Yarrowia lipolytica: one gene and its partners. The main gene of each other region encodes a partner of the protein of the gene in region 3 in a complex. Links are inferred from orthologs where the notes say so. Each region holds a gene or a part of one and is shown on either strand. Other genes may lie near its edges.

The links.
Region 1: YALI1_F37734g (region 3) and YALI1_C30399g share a complex: the UniProt entries of both Saccharomyces cerevisiae proteins name them as parts of the nuclear pore complex. The link is inferred for Yarrowia lipolytica from reciprocal best matches to the Saccharomyces cerevisiae genes SEC13 and NIC96.
Region 2: YALI1_F37734g (region 3) and YALI1_B02874g share a complex: the UniProt entries of both Saccharomyces cerevisiae proteins name them as parts of the nuclear pore complex. The link is inferred for Yarrowia lipolytica from reciprocal best matches to the Saccharomyces cerevisiae genes SEC13 and GLE1.
Region 4: YALI1_F37734g (region 3) and YALI1_D23693g share a complex: the UniProt entries of both Saccharomyces cerevisiae proteins name them as parts of the SEA complex. The link is inferred for Yarrowia lipolytica from reciprocal best matches to the Saccharomyces cerevisiae genes SEC13 and SEA4.

The regions. Positions count from the first base shown.
Region 1 is NC_090772.1:3,036,014-3,044,201, forward strand, and holds YALI1_C30399g (uncharacterized protein), read left to right. Parts: upstream 1-3,984; coding exon 3,985-6,693; downstream 6,694-8,188. Other genes in the region: YALI1_C30367g (uncharacterized protein), read right to left, coding at 1-720; YALI1_C30392g (uncharacterized protein), read right to left, coding at 1,291-3,264; YALI1_C30440g (uncharacterized protein), read right to left, coding at 6,846-7,988. UniProt on the Saccharomyces cerevisiae protein: Functions as a component of the nuclear pore complex (NPC).
Region 2 is NC_090771.1:282,971-290,272, forward strand, and holds YALI1_B02874g (uncharacterized protein), read right to left. Parts: upstream 4,444-7,302; coding exon 2,584-4,443; downstream 1-2,583. Other genes in the region: YALI1_B02833g (uncharacterized protein), read left to right, coding at 412-1,992; YALI1_B02850g (uncharacterized protein), read left to right, coding at 2,054-2,178, 2,224-2,410; YALI1_B02881g (mitochondrial 54S ribosomal protein uL5m), read left to right, coding at 5,198-6,091; YALI1_B02910g (uncharacterized protein), read right to left, coding at 6,366-7,302. UniProt on the Saccharomyces cerevisiae protein: Functions as a component of the nuclear pore complex (NPC).
Region 3 is NC_090775.1:3,770,785-3,777,385, reverse strand, and holds YALI1_F37734g (uncharacterized protein), read left to right. Parts: upstream 1-3,892; coding exon 3,893-3,895; intron 3,896-3,941; coding exon 3,942-4,835; downstream 4,836-6,601. Other genes in the region: YALI1_F37770g (uncharacterized protein), read left to right, coding at 358-1,602; YALI1_F37742g (uncharacterized protein), read right to left, coding at 1,720-3,123; YALI1_F37714g (uncharacterized protein), read right to left, coding at 5,061-5,957. UniProt on the Saccharomyces cerevisiae protein: Functions as a component of the nuclear pore complex (NPC) and the COPII coat. It is one of 5 proteins constituting the COPII coat, which is involved in anterograde (ER to Golgi) double-membrane transport vesicle formation.
Region 4 is NC_090773.1:2,367,044-2,375,449, forward strand, and holds YALI1_D23693g (uncharacterized protein), read left to right. Parts: upstream 1-2,220; coding exon 2,221-5,040; downstream 5,041-8,406. Other genes in the region: YALI1_D23668g (uncharacterized protein), read left to right, coding at 1-97, 150-196; YALI1_D23688g (uncharacterized protein), read right to left, coding at 212-1,723; YALI1_D23721g (uncharacterized protein), read left to right, coding at 5,087-5,214, 5,290-5,395; YALI1_D23730g (uncharacterized protein), read left to right, coding at 5,999-7,132; YALI1_D23753g (uncharacterized protein), read right to left, coding at 7,322-8,299. UniProt on the Saccharomyces cerevisiae protein: Component of the SEA complex which coats the vacuolar membrane and is involved in intracellular trafficking, autophagy, response to nitrogen starvation, and amino acid biogenesis.

The DNA of each region.
Region 1 (8,188 bases), on a different chromosome or scaffold from region 3:
ATTTTCGTACTTTAGAAGAAGATGGTTGAAGACAGAGTCCGGTAAAGGCGGCTCACTGTTCTGGAACAGCACGTCGAAATCGTACGTCTCAAATCCTCCACTCTTGAGCCGGTAGTACGAGATACGTGCTCCTCTCCACAAATGCTCCACTATGAACATTTGGGTCTCTCGAAGAAGAGCATTCTCGGACCCATGACGTTTCAACACAGGAGACATGTTGGGATTGATTTTCTGTATATCCATTCTCATAACAGACTCCATGACCTCTTCCACCGTCATCGTTTCCTTCCTCATATTGAACAGCTCGTTCAATGTGCCCCACGAGTTGCTGAATTCCACCGAAATGTCGTACAGGTCTTTGTAGGTAATCTTCCCATCATTGTACTTGATCCGGTACTTTTGCAGCTTCTTCTGCGGGCTCAGCGGCGTCAAGTAACTGTACAGGGAGAAGATCAGTTCAAACGTGTGCTTCATGAGATTCATGCGCATCACCATCCCTGCACATCTGGTAATCGCCACCATCATATGTCCCGCCCAATCAGCGTATGAGATATCATCGTTCATGTTGATGAGACCGAGGTACATGTCTAACATCAATTTTTTCAGCACTAGAGCCTGCTTCAATGCGGCCTCATCCCCCGTTTGCTCTATGAGAATCAGTTGCTGCTGGAAAAACAGCCCGATATTCTTCAATTTCGGCCGCAACAGTAGCGGTCTCATTGCTCAGCTGATTCTCAGGGTATCAAAATGTGGTACTGATCGGTGTTGATATTGTCACGAAAAAGACAAGGATTATGGTGCAGTTTACATGCATGCAGAGAGACTATCGCACTACAATAAAATAAAAATAAACGACAATAAAAAAGCGACAATAAAAAAGCGACAATAAAAAGCGACAATAAAAAGCGAAATAATAAAAAAAAGTGTCCAAAAAAGGGGATTCCGAAACTCGGTTGATTTGATTAATCCACTTATAATGTTCTAATTGCTACTTGATAAGACACTACTGACGGAAAAAGCAAGAACGAGGAAGTTGTTGGGTCGCGGTAACGAAACGGAAATTTTGTAAATATGTAACTATGGTATAACAAAATTAACAACTATATCATAGAGTTAGTAAACAAAATAACAACCCCAAATAGGTGCTTGCGACTGTACTGTACATACTACAGTATTGTACGTGCAGTAATAAATACAATAAAATAAATAGGTTAAATATACTAATATAATAAATACCTTCGGTTCGCTATATATACCATACCCTCTCTCTATATACATACCCTCCAATCACTACCAACACTCCTCACATGCTGCTCTGGACTGCCAGAAATACGGTGGCATCCCCTTGATCACCTTTCGATACCTCTTCAACTTCTGCTTGTCCGCATGGCCCAGATGTTTGTGCCAATACGTCAAGTCCAAATCCACCAACTCGTAACCTCTCCACAACAAAACTGTTTCTCCTCCCATGTATTCTGTCACCTCCAATCGAGGTAACTGGACCATGTAGTTGCTGTTCTTGTGACAGACTCCCACAAGAGGAGCGAAAGCACACTTACCGAGAAGATTGTCCAGCACTTTTTGGCAGTAGTAGGCCGTCGCATAGATGGGCTTTCCCTCAGGATCATAGGCGTAGCAGACAGTCCCCCTTTCAGAAACATGGTACTCGTCTCCTTCTATCACCAGAGTTCTCTCTTCTGACGGCATCGGCTGTACAAATAGTCGTCTGTCTTTGACCACCAGAGGATGCTCCTCATCGGTAACATACCAATCAACCCAATCATCGTCCTCATTATACCATATTTCTGGGTCGTGTATGTTGGAGTATTCAATACATGCCTGGAGAAACATGCCGTAGTAAGTGTTGATTTTGTCACGTGAGTCTGTGAACATGGACTTGAAAAAGAAAAACTCCTTGGTTCTCTGAAGTGTCTCGAGATGCTCTTGGAACGGCAATCCCATCAGTCTGCCTTCAGTAGCGGGGCTAGGAATACCATACACCTTGTCCTCAAAGATGTAGTCATCGAGATAGAAGTTCTTGTCCACCAAATTGTCAAAATATCCGGATGGAACCGTATTGTAAATCTTTTCGTACCCTTTCGGGCCATCCCATTTGGTGCCGGTATCTTTTTTCAGCCTGCTCGACTGCTCTCTGTCCCATCTCATCTTGTTGTATCTCCTTATGCTGAGTAGGAACTCAGAATGCAGCACCTGGCCCATCTGGAGCTGATTTGCCACAAAATGCTGAACTGTTGGGCTAACTTCTGTTGTCGCCCTAGGAAACATGACCAGGAATTGGTCCACGGGTCTGGGTGAGGGCGTAGAAGCCACGTCCAGCAGTCCAGGACCTATGAGAGTCATGCGATCATGAGCCACATCTCGCTGAAGTGGATTCAGCTTCTTCCACCACGTTTCCCAGTCACTTCTGGGGTTTCCTTGGGCTCTAAACAAGGCATACAGTTTGTCCTGAAGTCCCGGGTCTCCTTTAGTTCTGTTCTCCAACCACATGTTCTGGTATCTGAACAGTCCAACATTGTCTCCTACCGGCAGCCATCCACAAGCCGTAAAAAAGATGAGTGCGAGGTTGATGAATACATTCGGCAGAAAAGGAGGGGTTTGCTGCTCGAAAACAACATCAAAGTCATAAACCTCCACGCCATCTCTTTTCAGTTGAAAGTATGCCGACCTTGCGTTTCGCCAGAGGTACGTTCGGATAGCGAAATAGGTCTCCAGCACCTCTATATCGTCCGTCGCTTGTTCTTGAAACATCGGTGTCTTTTCTAGGTAGCCCATTTGAAGGTATTCCAGAGCGGTAGTCTCGTCATGTTCGGCCAAGAACTCTTGCACATTCTTCTCGTCGTGATCAAACATGCTGAAATACGCCACAGTAATATCGTAGGCATCCTTGAACTTGGTGGAGGGGTTGTGGTAACCGCCGGCAAACCTCAGCAGGCGTTCCTTCGTGACAGGAGCTCCCACATAACCCACAAACAGAGAATAGACAAGATCATAGATAGAGGTGATGAGCCCCATACGCATGATATCTCGCAGACACTTTTCAACCACAACTCTCATACACCAGGCCCAGTCTGCATGTGTCCACCGCGGTACAAACGTGGTCACCAGTTCCTCGTACACGTCGACAATGATGTATCTGAGCAATTTGACCCTTTTTCTCGTGTCATTGTCGGTTTCCTGATCTGCGTGGCCATTCAGAATGGCTCTCAGAGTGCCCAGATCCGGCCTGTGTATCGTCGGTCGCATGTGTAGGTGGGTTGTGGAGCCGGGAGAGGGGGGGGGAAGTGTATCGGGAGATGAGTTTGAGACTTTGAAGCTTAGATTTCGGAATCAGATGATATTTTTACAAAGAGGAACATCGAGGGGCAAAATGTTTTTGTGCAAGACAATTGGTTTTTGTGAGAGGGGTCTTCTGACTGTGGACAGTCTCAAGACTACAGTATTGTCAAAATGTTTCATTATAGGGTTTCGAGATTTTTTGTGTTGAAAAACTCAAACGGAAAAAGGGGACGATAATGTCCGGCACGAATGTGCTGATTTTCGGTGCGATATATGAGGAGAAAGACGGCGATTGAAATAGGAGGAGCATATATTGTTAGTAATCTGTTTAACTAATCGCGTAGGATCAATATTGGTGGAGTTAGATGGATCATAATGGAACTGACGATGGGGACGTTTTTGTTGGGAAAATAGAAAAAAAGGTTAAGTAAAGCTAACTAATAGGTCCAGTAGCATACCAACAGTGTAGATAGCTTTGTTGACATTGTTGAGTTTATCTAACTATCAATTGTTGATGTACAAGGATGTCTGGAAACGGCTGAAAGCGTAACAGCGTAATGAAATTGCAACTCGGTGTCTCCATCTATATAATTGCTTCTTCTAACTATGTTCCAGACGAGTATCCTATATATCCTGTTCCCCTCAACACGGTCATAATCTGTCACTTATCCTCAAACTCTAAAATAAATGTTTATTTGGTACCACAACACACATTTCGCTACACGCCTACCATCACACATCACAACCATGGCTGAGACGTTGACGCCCTCGGTGGCGCTTTTCAACGAGTTGATTGCGTCGAGCAAGAATCTGCCCCACGCCGCCTCGCACCTGGGCTCAATTCAGCTCGATCTGAGCGAGATCGGCAAGCGAGCAAACTCGTTGCGAGACAAACACTCGGAGGGAAACGACACAAAGGCACACTACCTGCTGGCGGGCAGCGGAATCAACGCGGAGGACATTTATCTGCAGTTGTCGTCGCTGACGCTCAATCCCGGGATCGAGTACTACGACAAGAATGTTGCGGGCATCGACTCGTATCTGCAGAACAAGAAGCAGGACAGCATTCTGGCGGCCATTGCAGACTCTGTACGACTGTCAGCGTCAGATTTTGACCAGTTTCTCAACCAGAACGTGTCCCTCGACTGGGCCAAGCGCAAGGAGCAGATCTGCCAGCACTTTGGCCTGATCCAGAAGGACGACGACAAGAACAACCTCAACAACAACACAACCACCAACACAAACAACAAGCTGACAAAGACAGTCCTGGGGGGCACCTGGGGCGCCGCGAGTCTCGGAAAACTCATCTTGGGCACTCCTGAGATTGGCACTGCTACTCCACGACAACGGCAATTCGCAAAGGCCATTTCGGCGCTCAACAATGCCCGATCAAAGGGCCAGGCCTTCCCCGTGTCCGCAGCTCTTTCCACTGCAGCCGATAACCTCTCTGACGCCAAAAGTCAGCAGCTCAACGATGCATGGGATATTCTGTCGTACATCTCTGGAGAGTCGGTCGAGGCTCCTGCCAAAGAAGGAATCTACAGAAAGATGTACGCTGCTCCTCCCGGCAGCCCCGACGGACTCAAGGTGCGAAAACAGATCTCCCATGGTTCTAAAATGTATCTTGAGCATCAGTTTTACGCCTGTGTCGAGGCCGAGATTGCTAAGTCTCCCCAGGACGCTCTTTTGGGAGGCGTGCCATCAGTCTACAACAAAATCAAAGCTTACTTGAACGTGCGGTACTTCCGAGGAGGCCAATGGACCAAGGAGAACATGGAAATTCTGAACGGAGTGCCCGTTTGGGCTGTTCTTTACTATATGGTTCGATCTGGACATCTTCAGGAGGCTCTCGACTTTACTCTTGAGATTGAGTCGTCGCTCGAGAAGATTGAACGTTCATTCCCCGTCTATCTCCAGGCATATGTCAAGTCTAAGGATCACGTGCTGTCACGTGACATGCATGATCGGATCCTCACCGAGTTTAACCAGCACATTCGGTTCCTCGATGCTCATTCCGATCCTTTCAAGTTTGCTCTGTACAAGATCATTGGCCGATGCGACTTGTCTCGAAAGGTCTTCCCCGAGGTTCTTGAGACTGCTGAGGACTGGCTGTGGGCCCATCTTGTTGTTTCTCGAGAGACTGTGGACGGCCCTCTTCAGGATCGATACACTCTGTTGGACGTGCAGCGAACCGTGCTCAACTTTGGATCCAAGCATTTCAACCCCTCTGGTAAATCTCCCGGTCTCTATTTCCAAATGCTCCTTCTATGTGGTCTTTTTGAGGCTGCTGTCAGTTATGCTCTTACCTTCTGTCCCGTTGATGCTGTTCATTATGCCATTGCTTTGGCTTACTATGGGCTGTTGCGTGTCTCCAAGCCCGAAGATACCGAGGACTCCGATGGCTCATATCTTTCTGTGGACAAGAAGGACCAACAGGTTCTTCATTTTGCTCGTCTGATTGGACACTACACCCGGGACTTCCGACGATCAGATGCTGTTGATGCTGTTGACTACCTTGTTCTGCTGTGTTTCTACCGAGATCAAGAGGACGCTTGTCACGAGGCCCTGCGAGAGCTTGTGCTCGAGACTCGGCAGTTCTCTGTTCTTCTGGGTGACATTAGAGCCGATGGAGCTCGGTCTCCCGGTTGCATTGAGCGTCGGTCCAAGCTCATTGGTCTGGACAAGGACGACTTCCTCACTCAGATCACTGCCCAGGCTGCTCTGCGTGCTGAGGACGACGGTCGGTTCGCTGACGCGATTCTCCTTTATCAGCTGTCTGAGCAGTACGACACTGTCGTGTCTATCATGAACCGAACTCTTGGTGACGCACTGAGCATGATGGACTTTGGAGACTCGAACGTGGAGCCTGCCCAGTCGCTTTCTCTGCTGTCCACCGCGACCAACCCCGCTCAGTTGGCCGCCACCATGCGAGAACTATACACTAACAACCCCCAGATGTACTCGCATGTGTCGCAGCGGAACCGAGATACCTGCGAGATTCTTCTGCAGATTGTGTCTGCTCGGGAGTCGTACTCGCGTGGCCACTGGGCCCATTGCATTGCTGTGATTGACAATATCAATGTGATCCCCATCCACGTTACCGCCGACGTAGGCACCATTCGTCGACGTGCTCAGGACTTTGTGTCTCTCCACGAGTCCACTGCTCGAAATGTGCCCTCGTTGCTGCTCATGACTATGACGTGTTGTGCTGAGTTGGCCCAGAACATCCAGGAGTCCGAGTTCAACGATGCTACTCGGTGCGACCGGCTGGCCGAGCTCAAGGCCCGGTCTCGAAACTGTATGATTTACGCCGGCATGATCCAGTACCGAATGCCTCGAGAGGTTTATTCGCAGCTCACTGCTCTGGACACCAATCTCAACAGTGTTAACATGTAGGGAGAAGAAGACGATATAGATAATTGATTGTATGAATAGCTATTAAAAGTTACGTAGATTGTGACTATTTTTGCGGATAATTTGAGCAAGACAGACCTCTTGAGGCTAGCAATAGAAATGCACGTGATACAGAGTCAATAGTGTGTATTAGATTATTTGGAAGCCTCAAGAGCCTGCTTGAGATCGCCGATGAGGTCATTGGCGTCCTCAACACCAACAGAGACCCGCAGGTAAGCAGGGTTAGTGGTAGCGTCACTCATGAGTCGCCATTCAATCAGCGATTCGACTCCTCCAAGAGAAGTGGCGTGGTTGAAGAACTTGAGCTTGCTGGGCAGAGCTCGGGCGGCTTCTCGAGACTGCATTTCCAGCACGAAAACAGGTCCGTAGCCTCCCACAAGCTGCTTCTTGACAAAGTCCTCGGTCTGAAAGGACGAGTGGTGGACACACTTGAGCGCGGGGAAGTCAGAGAGGTGGTCGGAGAAGTACTTGGTGATGGCGGTGGCGTTATCCGACTGCTGTTTGATTCGCAGCCTGTAAGTTCGAAGAGATCGGAGCAGTAGCCACGATTCGAGGTTTCCGGGACCTGATCCGAGGAAAGATCGGTCACCAACCAGCTGATCGGCTTCCTCGTGCGTCTTGACGACAAGAATTCCAGCCAGCAGATCAGAGTGGCCTCCAAAGTACTTGGTGGCTGAGTGCATGACAATGTCGGCTCCAAAATCAAAGGGGTCCTGCAGGGGGGGAGGAGCAAAGGTAGCATCAACAGACAAAATGCCGCCCTTTTTGTGAGCAGCGTCGGCGTAGTAAGACAGGTCTCTAGAGTAACCGGTGGGGTTGACAGGAGTCTCCAGGTGAACCAGATCTCCCTTCTCCACCTTGTCCAGTTCGTCTAGCGACAGAATCTCCAAGTTGTATCGGATTCGCTTGAAGATGTCACTGACAGCATGGCAGCCGTGGTAGGCTTCTCCGATGAACAGGCGCTTGGGGTTGACGTGGACAATCAGGGCCGTGAACGCAGCCAGTCCGTTGTTGTAGACCACCGGGAACTTGTTGTTGAAGATGGTCGACAGCACCTTTTCCACTCGCGAGGTGGTGGGGTGGGCGATCCGCGAGTAGACGTACTCGTTGGTTCCGTAGGCCGCTTCATCTTCGTTTTCAGCCAGAGGGACCAGATCCTCCGGGTTGCTGGAGTACCGGAAGGTGGTGGAGACGGCAATTGAGGGTGCCACGTCGTTGGTTCGAGCGAGTTCGTCGTCTGCGTGAATCGCGAGAGTGGAGAGGTCAGGAGAGGTCATGGTAGTGGTGTGACAGGGAGTGTGACGATACAAGTACAGTACAGTACAGTAGTTGGTTAAAAGTCGACATTTACACTGTCAATTAACTTTGGGGGTGCGTCCAGTACGTGCGTCTGGCAGGCAATAAACGAGCCATCTCACGTGTAGGAAGCGCCTGAGTGGACACGGTTGGCCCGGATTTCGCCTATATTGTAGAGAGA
Region 2 (7,302 bases), on a different chromosome or scaffold from region 3:
CCCAGATTGCGACCAAAGTTTGTCCTGAGACAGTTCTACAAAACACACTAATGTAGACGGAGCAACAATAGGCGACCGGATATCCAAACGCGCACCGTAAAAACCGCAGCAGCCGCCGCTCAGTTGCGATTCACGTGACCAGGAGCACTCCTCCGGGGCGCAATCTGCTTTTTCTCGATGCTGTTTAGTCTCTATCCACGTGACTCGTAAAAAGACCCTTCCTCGCCCCCCCACTCCACTCCACACCATCGGACCGTTTAGCGTTTTTCCGTGATGCACCCTTCTTTCACAGGCTGCTCGTACCCTTCCCCCAAAGTGGAACGAAGTTTATCTGGATGGATATAAGAAGAGAGAAGCCCAAGTTGGACCTCAGCAGCGCCTCAAACCACATCCACCGACCACCACAATATCATGATCCAGTCGGTTTTCTTGGCCTTGGCCATTCTCATCGCCTATCTGGGGTTTGCAGAATGGTTTTCTCGATTCCAACACAGACGAATCTCCAAAAAGAAGGGCTGTGGCATGCCTCCCATGGCAAATGGAGGGTTTCTGGGTTGGTACGGACTCTATAAGACGTACCAGATCACGTCAGAACGCACATACCCTCATTCCATGCGAATGGGCCTCGAGGCGTTTGGCCATACGTTTGTCTATCCTGTTCCAGGTACAGACATGCTACAAACGATCCATCCAGACAACATCAAAGCGATTCTGGCGACCCAATTCAAAGATTTTTCACTGGGAACCCGTCACAAAATCATGCTGCCAACTCTCGGAGACGGTATCTTTACTCTCGATGGAGAGGGATGGACCCATTCCCGAGCTCTACTGCGACCTCAATTCGCCCGGGATCAGGTCAGTCACGTGGCTTCTCTAGAGAGACACATTCAGGTGCTTTTCAAGACCATCAAGAAGGAGAACAAGGAGTGTGATCCTGCCAAGGGCTTTGATATCCAGGAGCTCTTCTTCATGTTGACTCTCGATACTGCCACAGAATTTCTTTGCGGAGACTCGGTTGATTCCTTGACCGACTACTTGGCCGACCCAACTGCTCCCCAGCTCGACCACTCTGGTATTGACGAAAATGTGCGACGAGCTTTCCCTGAAGCCTTTAATACCGCTCAGTGGTTCTGTTCCATTCGAGCCAAACTCATGAAGTTGTATTTCTTCGCTGGAACCGTCTTTTACCGAAAGAAGTACGCCGACGCTAACAAGATTGTGCACGACTTCACCGACTTTTACGTGTCCAAGGCTCTGGCCGCCAGAAAAGAAAAGTTCCAGGAACTCGACCAGGAGGGCAAGTACATTTTCTTGTACGAGCTGGCAAAGGAGACCCGAAACCCCAAGGTGCTCAGAGACCAGATGCTCAACATTTTGCTTGCCGGACGTGACACCACCGCATCTCTTCTTTCCTGGGTCATGTTCCGAATGGCTCGTCAACCTGAAACTTGGAAGAAGCTGAGACAGGCTGTGATTAATGATTTTGGTGATACTCCCGACGAATTGTCTTTTGAGTCACTCAAGCGATGCGAATATCTCCGATACGTGCTTAACGAAGGTCTGCGGCTTTATCCTTCTGTTCCCATGAACTTCCGAGTGGCCACAAGAGATACTACTCTTCCCAAGGGAGGAGGTCCTGACCTTGACCAGCCCATCTTCATCCCAAAGGGCGGTATCGTGGTTTACTCTGTCTATCATACCCACCGAGCTGAGGAGTACTGGGGTAAGGATACAGAGGAGTTTATTCCTGAGCGATGGGATCCTGCTGAGGGCTATCAGATTGCCCGAGGATGGGAGTATCTTCCATTCAATGGTGGTCCTCGAATTTGTCTAGGTCAGCAGTTTGCCCTTACCGAGGCTGGGTATGTTTTGGCCAGACTTGCTCAGGAGTTTGAGACTGTGACCAGTTGTGATGATAAGCCATTGCCTCCCAAGTACAATACCCATTTGACCATGAGTCATGATGATGGTGTTTGGTTGAAGATGGAGTAGAACGGTCACTGACTAAGTACATGTTATTTATTATGTTTGATTACGCTGTTTGAATGTAGAGATGGGGTGTGGGGACAGCCGCTCAGTAGATCCCCTGAAATGTGAAATAGTTGACATTGGTATAGCCATACATACTGTAGAACAAAGTGATGGTCACATGTTCACAAGGCCGTCGAGGTGTCCGACGTGAGAGTCTGAGCATGACAATCCAACAATTTGATCTCCTCTTAGTTCTTCACTACCGTACCGACTTGTCATACGACTACGTACCATAGGAGGTCATGTTGAGTCCACAGGATACACTCCAGACTGTTATATAAATCAATCAAATGCCATCGTTATAGTGAAAAGTTGCTCTAGTTATCACGTCGTCGCATCAAGACGACAGTCTAGCCCATACCTAGGTCAGCAGCCGTAGATTTCATAAAGACGGCCATGAACACCAAATCGTCGTAGCGAGCAGGATATGTTGTCAAAGTCGCCATGCGCTTCTCGCGTACTTTGGTGGGTACATTTTTCGAGTTGAGCTCTCTGTCCGTTCTTGCTCGCTCTTGCGTGCTCTCGTCCAACCCCTTCTCCAATCTCTCCTCATTAATTCTTCGACATTGGCGTAAGTCCCTTCACATTACCTGTCTTCTGCCACTCCTCACCCATCAATCTCAGTCTCGCACCCGCAGGAAACCTCTTATCTCCGCAACTAGCGGTCCAAGGATCCCATGCAGCGTGCAACATCTTTCTGCCCTGTATGCCGTACGTGGCCAGGAATCTCACAGCAATCACCTCCCACCATGAAGCGGCAACCGTGAAATGCGTGTTAGTCAGTTTCTCTGTCTCCGTATTCAACAACCTAGCAATCATGGTCCAGCTGTAGGAAATGGGTCTGGGGTTTTCGGCGGGTGCAGTAAATCTGATCTGGGTGATAGCAACATACACTGAAGCAATTCCACCCATTCGCTCAGAGTACACAGTCTCGTCTTCCCACTTTCCTCCAGGCTTTCTCCAGGCCATGCGTTCTCGTCCTTGCTCGGTGTCAATGTCACAAGTGAAGCCAATCACAAAGGGACATTTCTTGACGAACCGAGCAACCATGAGATCGGTGAGCTCCGGAAACACAGACATGATCTTTGCGGCCAACATTCCTAAGGGAAGGGCACTCTGAGGAGCGACAATGGTTTCGTTTTCAGCCTGTCGAACAATGCTCTTGGCAAAGAAGTTGAGGAGCCAGAGGTAGACGAGCTCACTGTGCTGCTTGGCCTCATTGAAAATCTGTACAAAGTCTTCACTGATCTGTTTTGTGTGTGTAACTGAAGGCGTGAGCTGTCCGAACTTGGGGTTGATTTGGCGCTTGCATTTATTGCACAATTTCTTGACTTCGGCATTGTTGGCCACCGGTTCCTTGATGTCCTTCTTGATTTGTTCAATTTTGGCCTTCCACTGGAGGAATTCCTTATCGACCGCTCTCCAGTTTGTAAACTGGCCCAGTTTGTCCTTTCTGGCTTGTTCTTCCGCTTCCAGACGTTCCTTTTCTTCCTTCTCTGCTTTTTCCTTGGCCAAACGTTCGGCTTCGATTCTCTTTTTCTCGGCCGCCTCCTTTTCGGCCTTTTCTTTCGCAAGTCGTTCCTGTTCGAGTCTCTCAGCTTCCTCCTTCTCTTTCGCAAGTCGTTCTTTTTCCTTCCTCTCAGCCTCCACTCTCTCACGCTCAATCCTCTCACGCTCCTTCCTCTCGGCCTCCAGCCTTTGCCGCTCTTCTTCCCGTCTCTCAGCCTCCCATTGATCAACCAACCCGCCCACAATCACGCTGTTTCTCTTTTCCCGCTTCTTGGCCAGCTCATCAGATTGCTTGAGCCGATCGTCTCCCATCCGAGACATAAACACAGACTCCCGTCGAGCCACGTCATTGTGTCGTTTGAGCTCCTCAGACGCCCACACGTCCTCCACATGTTGGAGTTCCTTCTCGACCTGAGCTAAAGGAGCTCCCCAATCAATGGCAGCCGCAGGGTCGACCGGGGAACCCAGAGACACACTGTTAACACTGGAACCCCGTCTATGACCCCGCTTGAAATTTCCAACGGGACTCAGATGACATTGATCAAGGATAAGTGACACCCGGTTCAATGTACCCTCCCACTCTGCACAAGACAGATCGTGGATAGAGCGATATGAGTCTTCTTTGACGTCCTGAGTCTCGTCTCTGTGCTCCTGCTTCAAAGGAGATGACACTGCCGGTTTCGTCGGCCGAGTCGGACTGTTCGAGGCACTGTACTCCGTTGCAAATCTCGACTGAGAAGGAGTCTTCCGAGGAGGCTTACTGGGTGTGCCTTCTTCCTCCAGAGACATCTCGTACTGACTGATTTCCTGCGACAGCTCCTCATCGTCCCATAGCGGGTCGTATCCGTCTTCGAAATTCGGAATCCGCGTCAACACCGCCGGTCTCAATGGGCTGAATTTCATGGTCCTGGATGTGTCTTGATGGATTCAGTCGGCTATACTTTTTTGATACATGCAACTTAGAATATGCAGACCGAGCTGTATGGAGGGTGAAGCAATGTGTCTTGAAACGATACTAGAAACAGTGCGATTGAAATGAGAGTAACATCAACTGGATCATAGACGTCACGTGATATTTTACATAATCTATGACTGTAAGATGACTAACTAACGACCTCTTTGATTACTAATTAACCGCCCACCCACATCCCACTTCACAGTCTTCCTTATCAAGCCCAAAACACAACTCCAATACTGCATTGTAATCACCGGACAAGAATGTGCACGCCAAAAAGTCATGTAGGCGTATATTTGGTACTTACTAGTGGACATCATTACTGCGCCAAAACAGGAGATAAAGAAGGGATATTACAAAGAATTTCACCATATACAGACTGCTATTCGACTGTTTATGTGTTTTCCTATTTTTCCCCGAGTTCTGGAGAGATTTTCAAGGCAGACCCAAATATTCACGCCAAATTGCTAATTCTGTGTATATTCTAGACCGGGTAGTTTTGTTCGGGAAATTTTCTATATTAGAAGTCAATGATGTTACCAATACAAAGCCCATGTCGGTTGATTACTACTAACTAGTACCCACGCCTTTTTTTACGGATAATCACTTGCGTTTTTCATCCCTGCTTACTAACTCCCAAAGTCAATAATTTTCACTCACCTTCTTGTGCTGCGTTACACATCACGACCCTCACAACTCACAATGTCCGTGGTCTTCACCCGCTCCTTCCACGCCTCTGCGGCCGTGTCTCGAGGCGCCAAGATCTCGATCAAGCCGCCGGTTCACCATCTTTACAGATACAAAAAGAACATTCTCAAGCCGGCTTTCACCAAGACTCTTTTGACCCACCCTGGATCGATTGAGTCCAACAAGTATGTGCCCAAGAACACCCGTGTTGACCGGGTTGTCGACCACTACAACAACACGGTCGCGTCAGACATGCTGCTGATGGGCTATGTCCACGAACAGTCCGTGCGAAAGGGAAATAAGCACCGACCATGGGACTTCACTTCGCCCTACCATCTTGGACGACCTGCTCAGCCCCCTCGAGGTCCCAACAAGACCCCCACCAAGGACGTGCACCCTCGAACCTGGAAGAACATCCCTGCCATCACCAAGATCACCATCAACTGCACAGACCCCGGCACTGTTCTTGACCACGAGAAGGTGATCAACCAGAAACTCCTGCTGCAGCAGATCACCGGCTGTGCTGCTAAGGAAGTCCGGTCCCGGTCTAATATCATGACCTGGAAGCTCCGAAAGGGCTACCCCATGGGCGCCAAAGTGGAGATTACCGGCGAGAAGATTTCCGACTTTATGACCTCGTTGACAGAGCTGGTTCTGCCTCGAGCCATTGGATTCAACGGAATTCGAAATTCGTCTGGAGATAGAAACGGAAACATCGCCTTTGGTCTGATCCCTGAGGACGTCAAGAACTTCCCCGAGGTCGAGGCCAACCAGGACGCCTACCTGCAGATGTACGGAATGCACATCACCATCCACACCACCGCCCAGGCTGATTCCGAGGCCCGAGCGTTGCTGTCGGCTTTCAACTTTCCTTTCATTGGAAAGGAGAAGCATCAGGGACGATCTTAAGCGCTAATGAATGGCCTTTGGTCGCGAGTGGACTCCATCCTATCGACGACCAGGTAAATACCGGACACCCAAAAGAGTACAGATTTGTATATAGTGAGCCATGAGGCTAATAAGATGATGAATTTGAAAACAGACAGAAATCTTGCGAGTACTGTACATACTCGTAGTGACAAAGGTCTGTTGTCATAAACATTGTAGCAAACCAGATCAATTATACATACTGTACAGTAGCTACTATACCATCAAATTACTCTACCATCAAATCACTGTACCATCAAATAACCACCAACGACAGGTTGCTGACATTTTCGTCACTAACACTGGCTTCTCTGATCTTTTCGACTTCAAGCTTCTTCGCAACTCCAGTATCTTCATCAAAGCTCTCAGAAAGACCCTCAATAACGACTCCCTTGCCAGTTTTGTCGCCATTATCTTCATTATCATTCACCAGCAGAATTCCGTTTCGCAGACAATCTCGCTTCTCGTCTCTCTTATAAAAGTACAAAATGACTACCGCCATAATCGCGCAACAACAGGCACAAGCTGCGCAAGTTCCGTATCCCTTTCTGAACCTGGGAGCTTCAGAAGTGGGGAATACAAGCACCGACACCCATGCTGATGAACTCTGGCCCAGCATATTCATCATGACAAGCACTATAGCGTAGTGTTGTGGATCTCGTCTCATGATATCTGCCCACCAAGTGTACATGATAGGACTCATGGCCCAGGAGATGTACTGGAGACAAAAGGCAAACCATTTGGCCCCCTCTGGAACGTCCCAGACAGCCAGAATCACTGCTCCGATAGAATTGAACATCTGAGTGATCACTATACCGCCCCATCTGCATCGTGCAAGGTCTCCAAACAGAGATGCCAGGTAGACATAGGCGAAACCTAGACCAGGAGCAATTGTGCTGAGCTGGTTGACTTTCTGGTCGGTGTATCTTTGGTTTCCATTGGAATCAGTCAGGCTCTTCAACCAGAGAATGAAGGTGCCCGCGTTTCCACTGGTGTTGTTGTAGAAGAAGCAGGAGATGAGAATGGCGGTCGGGAGATGCCAGGAGGTGAGTAGTGGTTTCCATAGTGACCAATCCGTCAGTTTCTTGAGTTGCTGGCCCTTCTTTTCCGTCACAAAGGGCTTCTTGCGTTCCCTACATCGGATGATTTCCTCGTCAGTCAGAAACAGAGAAGTGCATTTGTCTGGCGTTCCA
Region 3 (6,601 bases):
TTTACTCTGATGGTGTTTGGTATTGTAATATGATAGTCAAGAGCGTGTGTTATGGTTGTAGCCAATTTTCTCTACTATAAGTTGACGAGACTGTATGCTGTAATTACTTGATGTGAGTTGATATGAGAGTACGAGCCGGTCATGTTCTTACTGTAGTAGGGCGTTTGAATCGTGAAGTTCTATAAGTACCGGTACAGGTTACATGATGCATCGGTATTACTGTAGTGGCAACAGAATCTCTTATAGCGAGAAGAACCCACCGCCTTTGTACATACTGGCCATATCACCATCTCCTGCAAGAAAACCTAGATTGAAATTTATTTGATCAACCCGTTTGGAGACTAACATTACACGATCATGGTCCTTCCTAGAAACAAAAGACGGCCCGCTAAGCCCAAGGCGGCACTCAAGCCCGACAACCCCGACACAGAGAAGCTCAACAAGCTGTTTGCCGAGCTCACACAGCTCGATGAGGATCTCGCAGCAACAGATATCGTGTGGAAGGAGACCAAGAGTGTGGAGAAGAAGACCGACAAGACCGATGAGCAGATTTTCGCCACCGTCAGCGACCTAGCGAAATTGTGCCATGCCCACATGACCAAGTGTGGTGTGGCCTTCAAGCCCCCTGTGTCCGTGGACATTGCTGTTCATACTGTTTCTGATCTGCGTAAGGTGTTGCCAGCCTTCACTGGAGAGTATCAGAACTTTGTGTCTCTGTCTGACAGTAGTGATGCTCACGAATTGATGCAAAAGGAGCTTCGTATTAAGCTTAGAGATGTCTGTGGTGGTATTTCGACTTTCAGCCGTGTTGTCCAGTCTCTTCTGAAGATGGATAGTAAGGCTGCCCAGACTATGCTTGATAACGTGCCTGTAGGTGACAGTGACGACGAAGTGACTGATGCAATTGGCAACCTCACTGTGGAGGAGGAAGTCAAGGGCCCCGAACTGTCTGCTGAGGAGCAAGAGGAACAGATTGCTGCTGAAGCATACTCCAAGCAACTGATTCGAGTAGCTCAGACCTGGAAATACTGCAACGCCGTCCAGGAGTTCTGCAAGACCCCATTCTTGGACGTCGCCAAGAGACGTCTCAAGGAGACCTGTTTGGTCATGACTGATGCTGTTAACGAGCTCAAGGAGTGGCTGGATAATGCTGATGACGAAGATGATGATCCCTTTGGACTGGACGACTATGAAGACACTGATGACGAGGCAGAACCTGCTGCTCCCGCTGCCCCTACTTCCCGAAGCGACGAAATTGTTGCTTTGGCTGAGAAGTGGCATGCAAAGCTCATTACCCTATTCAAGCTCGTTCAGGCTCTGGCATCACGATACTCGTCTCTATGCAAGGCTGATGCTGATGCCACTTCCAAGGACAGACTTGTAAGTGTCAACTCCCGTATTTATAAGCTTGCTGCCGGCGTCGACGACCTTGTCACCGGCTTCCTCATGAACAGCTCTGTCGCTGAGCTTGAGGGTGAATCTACCAAACTGGACGAGCTAGTGCGAGACTTGGCAAAGTCCGAGCGACTCAGCCCCGACGGGTCCAGCGATGCTGTCACTGTCTATATTGACAGTGCTTTTTCCTCCGCTTATGGGCTTTAATGAAGGAAATGTCTGGGCAGTATATAGTATGGATTGAATAACTTCAACGTTGACATCGCTTGTTTTATTAGTGCGATCTATTATATGCTATGGTTTTGATGGTCAATTTCTAGTTGGTCAGTTTGCGGAGCTACGGTGCTTTTGATTTCGTCGTTTGACAAACTCAACAATCTGCTGAGAACCAGCAAGCGTAGACACGAACTTTCGCTTTCCAGGATTCTCATACAAGAGAACGCCCAGCTCCTTGGCATAAGTGGAGACATCCTTGTACTCGTCAAAGTTTTTGAACTCGGAGAACAAGTAACCGTCGGTGGCTCGGATTCTGTCCATCTCAAGTTGCCACAGTTTGATCTGATCCACCACAGTAGGGGGAAGAACGTGTTCCATCCCCTTCATACGTGGGTGTGCATGAACAGAGAGATATGTGATGATTTGTTCGGCAGTAATACCGTTTGAGAGCGCAAATCGAACCGAGTCTCGGTTGATCTGACCGGTAACCATGTTTGCAAATCGTGTCTTAAGATTGACAAAAAGGTTCAGTACTGCGATCTGTAGTGGAGACTCTGTGTAGGCGTAGAGTCTGAAATTAGTTTCCAGAATGATAAATCCAGAGTCGGCAGCAACAGAAGACGAAATTGTGTCTTGTGTAGCTGCTTCCATGCTCTGACTGGCTGTTCTAAGTGCAGCCGTTTCTGATGTCAGAGTAGTAGCCAGTCGCGTAGGATAGAATCGTCTAGACGATGCTTTTCGCTGGTAGACGATACCGTAATCCCGCAGATCCTCCAGCATGTGTTTCTGTGTCTCGGAGAGTGCACTGAGCGAGTAGTCCTGGCCTAGCTCGAGAGAACCTAGCATGAAAATGAAGTTGAGCACGTCTACAGGATCCATCTGCAGATACTCGGACATGTTGAGATACTGGAGCAACAGTGTCCAAATCTGAGCATTTACATCCTGTAGCAAGAACTGGAATCCTGCATTGGTGATTCTCAGTCCTCCCCGTTCGGGTTCCATAAGTCCACTGTGCTTCAGCAGGTTGAGCACTCCATCACTGGGTGTTCTTCCAATCGACGTTCCGACCATAAAATGTAAGATCATCTCCCATTGAGAGACAGCGTGAGCATCCAAAAACGCCACATCCACCTTGTGTTTGTCTTCCGTGTCGCAGGGCACTCCAAACGAAATGTTCTGGTCTCCTCCTACCAGAGCTGCCCTCAGGTTCTTTTTGAATGTCGGATTAATGATGATATGGGCCTGGGTCTCTGTGAAAATGTGGAGCAGTCGCAGTTTCTTCTGTGTTTCGAGCTTGAGTCGCTGACTTGAAGGCTTCACCAGAGCGTCGACGTCGGCTACTGCTATGGGATCGGGGTTGAAAATCATGCCCATGATGAGTGTTCTTGCCAGAGCAGGTAGCAGTCGGAACACCGCCAGACATGTGGCCGGAGACTGGTACAGCCGAGTTAGTACTGCCTCCGGAAGACCTTCCAGGTAGTCATTGATGCTGTTTTTGAACTGGCTCGTCATATCCACTGTGATTGCCGTATCAACAATGGTCAGTTTGTCATATCATGCAAGATCTTATTAGAGTTCTACATAAATGGATACTGGAGGAGAGTGAGGTAAGAGATGGCTATGGTTGATATGACAGGAGTGCGTGATTGAATGGCTACACCAAAACCATGGGTTTTCTCTTATTTTGAAAACCTTTCACTCTCTTAGTTCTCCTCCAATTCGAAATACTTGGGTCAAAAGAATATGTTCACGGTTGACAGAAATTATTTGTGCGTCAGTATGCGAATGGTTGGTTTACCGTTAAGTATTTTACTTTACTTTCGTTCAAGCTGACAACAAGCCATAGTGAACCATCCCTTCTATTGATTTAGAGCTGTTTTTTTTTGTCTGATCCGTTATCCTAGAGCTTTTTTATACCTCTTCGTACCTCTCCACCACTTTCTCTATCAACATCCACTCCCTCGTGGTTACGTGTTTACTTGTTTCCACGACCTCACGTCTCTTCGATGATCCCTTACGTTTACAACTTTAATTTGCAGGTACACGTTGCACAACACCTCAATGTAGGAGGAATGATGAAATGAATGATAGAAAGTGGTGAATTACCAACATTAATCCCATGGTGGTTTGAGTCAGAGTGTCAACTGAAATTGCCTGTCCCTCCCTCCCGCGTCGCTCCTGTCCCTACAACAGGTTACGAGTACCGTATGCAAGGACACACCCACCACACACATCACTGAACTCAAACGTGAGAACACGACATATCTAACTATCCATCAGAATGGTGAGTATGGAAACGACAGCTATGATCCGGCAATCAGCTAACCCAGGTGACCATAGGAAACACGCACGACGACCTCATCCACGACGCCGTCCTGGACTACTACGGCAAGCGATTGGCCACTTGTTCGTCTGACAAGACCATCAAGATCTTCGAGATTGATGGAGACAACCACAAACTCGTCGAGACGCTGCGAGGACACGAGGGCCCCGTTTGGCAGGTCAGCTGGGCCCATCCCAAGTTCGGCTCTATTATTGCCTCTGCCTCCTACGATGGCAAGGTGTTCATCTGGCGAGAGGAGAACGGTCGATGGACTAACATTGCTCAGCATCAGCACAATGCCTCCGTCAACTCGGTGGTGTGGGCTCCCCAGGAGTACGGGCCCCTACTCCTATGCGCTTCTTCCGACGGCAACGTGTCCGTAGTCGAGTTCAAGGAGGGAGGTAACTGCGAGGCCACCACTTTCGCCGCCCATGATGTGGGCGCCAACTCCGCCTCCTGGGCTCCCCCTGCCGTGTCCGGCTCGCTCATTCAGCCCATCAACGGCAAAGCATCAAACAACATTCGAATTGTCACTGGAGGATGCGACAACCTCGTCAAGATCTGGAAGTACGACCCCTCTTCCAAGACTTACGTGATTGAGGAGACACTTTCTGGCCACAAGGACTGGGTTCGAGACGTTGCCTGGTCTTCCTCTGTTCTGTCCAAGTCTTACATTGCTTCCGCTTCGCAGGATAAGACCGTCATTGTGTGGACCCAGGAGGGCAACCAGCCATGGAAGAAGAAGCTGCTTCAGGACATCCCCTTCCCCGATGTGGTGTGGAAGGTTAGCTGGTCTCTGTCCGGCAACGTGCTGGCAGTTTCTGGAGGCGACAACAAGGTCACTCTGTGGAAGGAGAATCTCACTGGCGAGTGGGAGTCCGCTGGTGTTGTCGAGGAGTAACCATAGAGAATATATGTATGAGTATTGTCGGGAGAAATTGTAGTGACATGCAATGGGAATACGGGTTTCAATGTTTATAAATACTGTAGAAAAACCTCCTACTATGTTCAATTATGTAAAGATCGTGTCTCGAGATCACCAATTGGAGGCACCTACCCATACAGTTGCCAGATAACTGCACTACAGGTCACACAGTAAAATAGATAATGTCGACTAAACTAGTAACTAAACAACGTTAACCAGATCGGTAACGATGCCAACGAGATCATCGGCAGCTCGCTGACCCTCCTCCATGACCTCGCTGTGGTCGGCAATACCCTCATCAAGCTTGGCAGCATTGTCGTTCAGAGCGCTGTCGGGCTTCTTGAGAACGACAACGTTGGTGATGAGTGACAGAGCAAGCACCTTGATTCCACAATGTCGAGCCACAATCACCTCTGGGACTGTAGACATACCGACGGCGTCAGCCCCAATGGTAGATAGCATTCGAGCCTCAGCTCGAGACTCATAGGTGGGTCCGGAGACGAATGCATAAGTACCTTCGTGGATGCCTCGAGTCACGCCCTGCTTCTTGGCAATGTCGTAGACGGCTCGTCGCAGATCATGGTCGTAGGCATCTGACAGAGGTAGGAATCGGACTCCGAACTTCTCGTCGTTGGGGCCTCTCAGGGGATTGTTGCCTGCCAGGCCCGGTAGGTTGATGTGGTCATTGATAAGCATGATATCTCCGACCTTGAAGTCCTGGTTAAGACCGCCGGCAGCATTGGTCAGAATGACGGTCTTAATGCCAATCTGGGAGAAAACTCGGATGGGGAAGACGGTGTCTTGGATGTCGTAGCCCTCGTAGAAGTGGAACCGGCCCACCATGCAGACAACAGGGACGTTCTTCTCACCCAGCAGACCAACGACGAGCTTGCCGGCGTGGCCAGCCACGGTAGAGACCTTGAAGCCAGGAATGTCTTTGTACTCGATTGTGACCTGAGGCTCAGCCTTGAGAGCGTTAGCAAGGCCGCCGAGACCTGATCCGCACACGATACCGATCTGGGGGTTCTGGAGCTCCTTGGGCAGCTTGTCGGAGATTTTGTTGGCTGATTTAAGAGAGAGATCGAAAGTATCGGTCATTTTGTCGGTGATTGCGGTTATGTGGTGTGTATGTGTCAGGAGAAAGAAATTTGGCTACCTAGCTTGGTTTTGGATCCACCACTGCATATAAACCATGTTGGAAAGAGTAGACGGCGTTGAGATAGTGAACTATATCTGGACATGCCGCGGATATGCCGGCTGGGTGGAGAGACGGCGACTAGCGAGAGGTTCTCGTAATATTGCTGAAGGGTGTTTGAGGAACATAATTGCTTGTTAGAATCATGACTTTGCTTCACTGTGATTCTGTGGCGTTCTATGGGTCTCGAGTTCATCTGTCACCAGTGGGTAGATAAGCATAAGCATGTTTTTTGTCGAGAGTGTTAGTAATAATGAAGATGGGCTTCGCAGTCGTCTTAAGAGGGGTATATAGTGCAAGATCATTGAGAAGTCCGGATTTCTTCTTTATGTTTGAGTCTGTACATGTACGAGTATGTACATACTGTACTTCCAGCTCGGACATCACTCTCTCAAATATTTGTCTCAATTAGTAATCATGCAAAAACAAACCAACGAGCGACTTGATGAAACACTCGTCCTCTATATGCTCACGGGTACGGCTGCATGAGATGCAGTACAAGTATTTATAAGGGGCCGGCACTGTTTCCAAAAAAACAAATGAGACG
Region 4 (8,406 bases), on a different chromosome or scaffold from region 3:
CTGCTGCACATGTACGAGTCGCTTCCTCAGTTGGCTCTTCAATGTTGTGGAAATGTATCGCAAGATGGAACGGGGCTTCTTTCCCTGGAAAACCTGGGTCTGATGGAGGGTGAGAGCTCTATAATACACTCACACAGATGCGTCACTAGAACTGCGTCTCACAAGAATTGCCATTCTAAAGTCTCCACCCGCTTAAGTAGTAAAATGCGAATTAATATGTACAAACTTCTCCTCTCAATCGGAACGCTCTCTGCCGATTGTCCTTCATTCTGAGTCCTCGTCTCAGGTAGTTAATAATGAGCGAAAACCGCCGCAGGGTCTCGGCATGCACCCGCGCAGTGATGGACTCCTCATACTCGGGCACCCGTCGCTTGCGCGACTCCAACGTCTTGTAGCAGTCTCGCTCAATGTCCTCCATTGCCTTGATCAAGGCTCGAGATTTGATATTCATCAACGCAATGTCTGACGCGAGCACCGACAGCGTGGAAAGATCTCGGTAGAACTCCCACACAATCCTGATCATAGTGAAGTACACGTCTGTGGACACGGTAGCAAAGTAGAGGTTGCCGGAACGGGTTTTGACGGCGTCAAACAGAGCCACGGAGTCAGCAGGGGACTCGAACTTCTCCACCAGAAGCTGCAGAGACTCGTTGAGCAGAAGAGGGAACCCGGCAGCCACAGGCGGCAGTTCAGAGGGGAGGTTTTTTCTGCTCTGGCCAATGTCCTCGATCTCATCGAGCTGCTTGTTCATGAACTCAAGAATATCGTAGTCAGAATCCAATCGAATCAGCTTCTTGAGTTGCTCCATCATAGCAATTTCCACCTCGGTACATTCCTTGAGATCCAGAGAATCAATCCGATCATGTCGAACATCCATATCGGGCTCGGCACAGATCTCAACAAACATGTCAGGAACACCAGAGTTGAACAGATTCACATATGGCGAGTTGATAGAGGAAAGCTCGACTCCACTGGCTTGTCTGATAGCATCCAAGTTTGCGGTTTCACGGGACTCGTACTCAGACTCATGTGACATTGGTGGCGTTCCTGCTCCTGTTGCTGTCTCCGTAGCCGCTTCTTCCCCCATAACTTTTGCAAAAATCTTTTCAAACGGCGCAGAGCTCCCCAGAGCTCCTCCAAACTCGGACGGGGGAATAACGTGTGTACTTATTTGGTCGCTGTTGCCTCTCAACGGCGACATATCCAGGTTCTGGGGCATGACATATCGGTTCTTAGGCTCTTCGGGGAACATATCAGACTTTCCCCATTGATCGAATCCGCCGGACCAGTCGAACGTGGCATTGTTGTGATCGTCTTGGCCAAGCGCGTCGAATGCCTTGGTCTCGTCCTCCATGGCATCGAATTTGAATCGGTTGGTCTTGTTAAATCCGGAGCTGAAATCGTCGAAACCGATATCTGAGCTGTCCAGGTTGTCGTCGTTGAAAGAGAACTTGCTAAATGTCAGGGGATCGTCGCCCTGCTCTTTCGTGGCTTTCTTGAATGCAGCAAACGGGTCCTTGAACGAACCCCTAGCCTTGGTGGAGGGAGGTTCAAACTCGCCAATAAAGGTGTCTTCATAGTCGGATTTTTTTCGCAGCACGTAGGCCGAGTGCAGGAGCCGCGTCTGCCGGCCTGTACAAACCTTGTACTGTGCTCTGAGCATTTTTGAGAGCAGTGTCGGAGTAGCGGAGACACTGAAAACGGTGTTGAAAATCAGGTGCATAAAAAAATGATTTGAGATGCACACTGTAACCTTGTTTAGTAGCTAATCTTCCAGCTACGTTTAGTTGGGATATTACTTGGCTTTTTAATTGACTAGTTGATGGTGTGGAGGACTACACTGTCAGTTCTACAGACGATTGTGGGTTTTTGCTGAGTCGAAAATCTTGTCGAATGACCCTCGCTGTCGTTTATACGTCTTACCCCTTGGGCTATCTCGTATACTCTCCTACTGCTAAGCAAAACACATTGTGTTCTCCAGCCCGAATCGAACTCACGATAACATCCGACTCTAGGCGCCATGCACTATCATTATCACCCTACATCTCCGGACTACATCACAGCATCCCCGGATTTCGACAAGCAGAGTCGACCCAGGGCCCAAACCAAGACGCGACATAGCTACATCTCTGCTGACCTCACCGCTACTTTCAGAATTCGAAGCGGACGTAAATTGACGATTCTACGAGCCAATACCCAACTCAGGTCATCCCCAACAAGATGACGACTTTTGGATCAATCGCTCACGCGTACCAATGGGACTCTCTTCCTGGTCCCGGCGTCGACGGACACCACATCATCGGCGTGTCGCCTACCCGAGACGAGGTGTCGCTTTACCAACTTCCCCTCAATCACAAATCGTTCTTCAAAGACAGCTTCACCGAGCCAGAGAAGATCAGGTATCGAAGCGGCTTTTCGGCGATCCACTGCTCGGCATACTCGCCCGTCAACAAGGGCATCATTTCTGTGGCGCAGCTCAACGGATCGGTGCTTCTATTCGACATCAACAACCCCGAGTCGCAGGTGGTCAAACTACGCTCCAAACAGAGCCGAACCTGCAACGCTCTAGCCTTCTCTGACAATGGAATTCTCGCGGCGGGACTGGAAAAGACACGTAACGACAACTGCCTGCATATCTGGGACGTCAATGCTGTTGTGGAGGGCGGCAATATCACTCCTCTCAGCACCTATCTCCCGAACGAGATTGTGTCGAGTCTGGAGTTCATCCCCAGGACTCATAACGTGCTCTGTGGCTCATACAAGCTGTTGCGTGAAATCGACACCAGATCCGGAACTCCTCTGTACCAGTGTGCCACTCGATGCACTCTAGGAATCACCACCTACCCCCACGAACCCAACTACTTTGCATCCTACGGAGAAGATGGAAGCATGGCCGTCTGGGATCGACGTCAACTGCGACAGCCCGGAGGAAACTCGTCAAACGAGCCGATGCTACTATTTCCACGTCTTCTTTCCGAACTCCCCAGAAAAGCGAACGCTACTCACTTGAGATATTGCACCACCAGACGGGGAGAAATGACCGTCTATGGAAACACAGACTCGTCCATTCGTCGAATCGATATCGGTCTGGCTGTTCGAAGTGATGATGACGTGTATCAGAATCAACAGAACAACGAGCCCACATCAAGTACGTCTCAGAATCGGTTTTTCGACTTCCAAAAGCCACCGTCTGACCCCACAGCTTCTCTTGACAAATACCTGTTTGTGCGGTCGTCCAAGGACGTGGAGATGCCGCTCGACAAGCTTCTGGGCTTCGACTACATCCACGCCGAGCCTGAAAAGTGTCCTGTCGAATACATTTGCATGCGACGAACAGGCCAGGTGTACTGTTTCCGGCCCAAGGAGTCGCCCGAGGTTCTGCGGTTCGATCCCCTGAACACCCTCACGTTCAGCAATGCCACGAACGTGTTTTTTGAGACGCCCAGTGATGAAGTCCGAGAAGTCGATTTCAAAAATCAGCGCGAATCTGTCGTTTCGGTGGTTTCTCCAGACGTGTCTTCTGACGAAGAAGAGCCCTCCCCACGTGCTCGTAACTACAGCAACGACTCTCAGATCGGGCTGATGAAGCTCAGAGACATTTTGGATAACGACATCTCCACCATCATTCGAAAACGAGCTCTGGCCGGCTACGGACTCGACACTGCTACCAACAAGAGTCTGCTCAAGAGCCACAATCACAGTCTCTGGCCTGCCCATCTGAAAAACACGTGGAAGTGGATTTCGCGGGCCCAAAAGGCCGATATTGACCGGTCAGTTGTCTCTGAATTCTTTGACCTTGGCTACGAGGGCATTCTGGACGTGTGGCAGGGTGTCCAGGGTCTTGCTCTGCAGCAGAATCGATTATTGAAAAAGGACGCTACGGAGTCCCAGTTTGCCCAGGCTATTCAGCTGGCGATGGAGACGGAGTTCACACGCAAGATTTACATCTCCGCGTCTGTGGCGGGCACAAAGAAGCAGTTCCAACGACAACTATGCTTGTATGTTGCTGGTTGGGATTTCTCCTACGACAAGCTTGAAGCCGAGATCCAGAAAGCCGAAGGTAAGGGCGAGTACGAGAAGGCAGCAGGTTGGGCGGTGTTCCATGGCAACGTGGAGCGAGCTGTCCAGTGTCTTGCTGGGTCCAAGAAGGAGCGGCATCGAATCATTTCGACCGCCATTTCAGGATATCTGTCTCAATCTACAAATGCCAACTCTTCCTGGCGAGAGCAGTGTCGACGGCTTGCTTCTGAGCTGGACAATGCCTATTTTCGGGCCATTTTCGCCTATATAGCCGATGGAGACTGGCTGGATGTGCTTGCTGAGTCTTCTTTGCCTCTCAAGGAACGCCTGGGTGTGGCTCTTCGGTTCCTTCCCGACAATGATCTCACCAGTTATCTGAACCGACTGGGGGATCAGGCTGTTAGCAGAGGAGAGCTGGAAGGCATTATTTTGACCGGAATCACTCCCCGGGCAGTTGATCTGCTACAGTCTTATGTGGATCGAACTGGTGATATCCAAACGGCAGCGCTGTTGACCTCGTTTGGAGCTCCTCGGTTCTTTGAGGATGAGCGGTACTCGCAGTGGATTCTGTCGTACCAGCAGCTGCTCAACCAGTGGGGAATGTTCAAGGAACGTGCTTTGTTTGATATTGCGCGTACCAAGCTGAGCCAGAATTCCTCTGGATCGGTTACTGCGGTCACCAAGCCTCGACAGGTGTTTCTTCGGTGCTCATACTGCAACAAGAACATTTTCAAGGACGAGTCTAAGCCCGCAACTACGTCTACTCCATCTGCAAAGTGCCCGCATTGCAACTCGCCTCTTCCTCGGTGTGCCGTGTGTCTGCTGACCATGGGAGAAGCTATGCCAGACACCCGCGTTGAGCAGGAGAAGAACAACTTTGCTTTCCACCAGTTTTCGCATTGGTTCAGCTTCTGTCTGAGCTGCAATCATGGCATGCATGCGGGTCATGTGCAGAAATGGTTTTCCAAGCACGATGTTTGTCCTGTTCCGAATTGCAGCTGTTTGTGTAACAGTATTTAACTGGATGGCAATCGGAACGAGTCAACGGAACAAAAAGCCCCTGGTCATGAGTCGACAACTTCCCCAAACCCCACCTCACTGTCCAACCGCTTCTTACTTAACGAATCAACTTATTATTGAAGAATGTGTTTACCTTCTTGATATGGGATCATGGAGCATATACAAGTACATAATGTACTAGAATTCTCGGCTTAGATCCTCCACATACATGCAAGGCCTTGTTGGGTGCTCCTGAAACACCTCTGCGAGTTCCCTGAACTGTTGGAGATGTTGCCTACAGGAGCTCGAAGAAGATATCGATGGGGGGAATGGTACAAGGTCGGAAACGGACCATAGAGGGCTACATGCTTGGTGAGCCTGTTATTGGCGTGTGCAAGACTGGCCAATTGTGTTGTGGCATTCTGGAGAGATATCGAGATGTCCACACACGGGTTGCTGGTGGCTTAGGTAATTATATGCCTACAGTATTTACTTGTAACAATACTGTAGCTTACTTCTAAATCATTTTTATTCAATTAATCTTCAACTAAGACTCTGGTGAGTCAACTAATTAATCTAGTGAGACTGAACATACAATCGCACTATCTCGAACACTAGCGAGGGATATTTGAACAACTAATAGAGAACGACTAAGCCGACAATAAAAACTACTTTTTGTTGTCTCGGAATCTCTCCATCTCGTATCATTCAGTAATCATATTGTTTTGTTAAAACCCGCAACTAATAGTGTCACTACTACTTAACCTACCTAACACCATCCTCCTTACTCCCTCCAACTCAGTCAAAAAAAGCTCAATTGAGAATGGGTAAAAAAAGTCTTGTTTGAAACCTCATTTTATCACCTTTTCCACCCCCATAATCCCTTCATTACCCTCATTACCCTCATTCACATACCTTTCCACAGACCGCCCACTCTGTCTACCCTAACCCTAGTTATGCCATGCATGTCAACAAATAAATGTGGATCATGGCCACCACCACACAAGCACACAAAACACTGACAAAAATGGACCAATCGCCGTTTACTCGGCGTCTGTACGAGGCCGGTACTCTTGATGACATGCCCAGTCCCACTCGTGAGAGCACACCCGGCAATGTGACCTCCAACATGACGACTTCTCTGCCTTCGACTCCTAAGCACTACCAGTTTCGCGAATCTGCGTCTGGAGTGAACTTCAAGGCTTCTCCGGTGACGCCGAAGGCCGGATTCACGCCCAAGTTTGGCGGCCCCTCGACCCCGAACAGATCGACCCAAGCCACCCCCCAAGGCACTCCTACGGGATCGTGGACCCATCCCAGTCTCAAGGTGGTGAAGCAACGAAGCGGAATCAGCAAGGAGGCCATGGTCAAGCGGGTGGTTTACAACGCTCTGAGCTGGCTGGTGTTTGTGCTCTTTCGATCGTTCGTCAAGCGGGTCTTTTTTGACTGGATCGCTCCGAACGACCTCATCCACCTACCCCCAGACGACTCCCCCACCTGGAAGTATGTTCTGTACCTGCAATACTTCATCCAGGGCGTGTTGGCCACCAACATTCTCCAGGCACTCTTCTACCTGGTCCAGCCCCAGGATAAGTACGCCGATCTGCCCATGACGGACGAGCAGAGAGAACTCATGGGACTGCCCAAACTCAACAAGAAAACCGACATCAAAAACGTCCCCACGCCTCCAAAGTACGTGCGAAACTCGCCGGGCTCCATGAACTTCCCCTCGCCCAAACCGCGATCGAGATCCAACTCGACCTCCTCGTCTTCGGTGGGAACCATTTCAGCCTCTCCCGGAAACTCCTCTGTGGACCTTGGAAATCTGTCTCTGGGTCCTTCGGCTTCTCCCCTGAGACGCCATCCTAACCACGTGGTCTCCAATGTGCCTGGAATTGGCACTCCTTCCCCTCTGGGCAAGTCTGGTGTCAATGTCGCCAAGACTATCCAGTCCACTGGAAAGAATTCCGCCGCCAACACCACCGCCAACATGTCGCTCAGCCAAAGCACGCCCATCGGTACCCCCAAGAACAAGTCCAAGCTCAACCAGAGCCAGAGCTTCACCCCCACAGGACGTTACATGTACTACAGTGACTCTCCCCGGAAGGCGTAATTGACCCAACAACCAAGACGAGACCCCATGGACTACAATCCACAATCATACTCGCAAGGAGAGTCCAACTTGCATCTAGAATATAGCTAATTGATACCATTTAATATTGTCATAATTGCAGTAGGGAACTATCTAAGACTCTCTAAGACCATGTCCAAGCAAGCATAATAGAGTCATTTGATGATGTTGCTAACTCCTGGACTCGACTCCCGAAACATCCATGAACAAAGCCACCATCTCGTCTCGATCCAGATCGTCTAGCAGCTTGGAATGTGAAATGTCTGGCATCATTTGTTTGATTCTAGCAGCGGAGTAGCTTCTCAGGTCGTCGTTGCAGGCTTCAAACGACTTCTTCCACAACATGATGGCTTGTTGAACGTCCAGAGCCTCCGCTTTGATTTTGGCCACCGCGAGACTGAGTAGCTCGGGCAAGTCGTACATTTGAGCCATGACGAGAAGATTAGCTGCATCGCCGAAACCGAATTCCAGAGGCTGCCCGTAGAGATATCGCACGGCGACCTCGATGGTCGATGCTGGAAAGGGCAGATCCAGGGAGTTCTCCGTCGCCTCCATCATGTTCGAGTCTATGGTGGCCGAGAAGAACGGCCACAGCGGTTGCAGCACCGTTTTATGGACCTCTATTTTCTGTCCATCCTCACTAGTCAAATGAAAGTCTCCAGGAGTTCCGTCTCTGATTTTGGCCAATCCAGTCTTGTGCACGCTGGTGAGATGTATCTCGTCGGGGTTGTTATCCTTGATGAAAGATGCCAACTTTGGAATATCTTCGTTTTCAAGGGTCTGGAAAACCACCACCGTCCAGCTGTTGTCCAAGAGACAGACTCCTTGCCATAGACGAGACCTCAGAAAGAAAACGTGAGGGTTGACGGCCATGGACAAGACCTTGGGCGGCGAGCTGGCGGAAATGGGCGGTTCTGCGTGGAAACACTTGTCCAAACTGGTATGAAGTAGCCCCAGCTTATTGTCGTAGAACTTCAGATACACCGCTCTGGAGGCGTTTCCGTCGGCCTTGAGGGCGTGCGCAAAGTAGAAGCTTCCCATCTCTTGTAGGGTGCAAGAGGAGTAGAGGAAGGCGGTTTCTCTGACCAGCTGCTCCTCAGAGCACGCCTTGGGAAGCCCAAAAGTGTATGGCTTGTTTGGTGCTGCCATGGCGGTTAGATTACTAAGCGAAAGTGAGTGTGGCTGTCACTACGAGCACTGTATGGACTGTGACAGTGTCTGGTGGAATGACGATGAAGATGCAGGTCGTATTGATA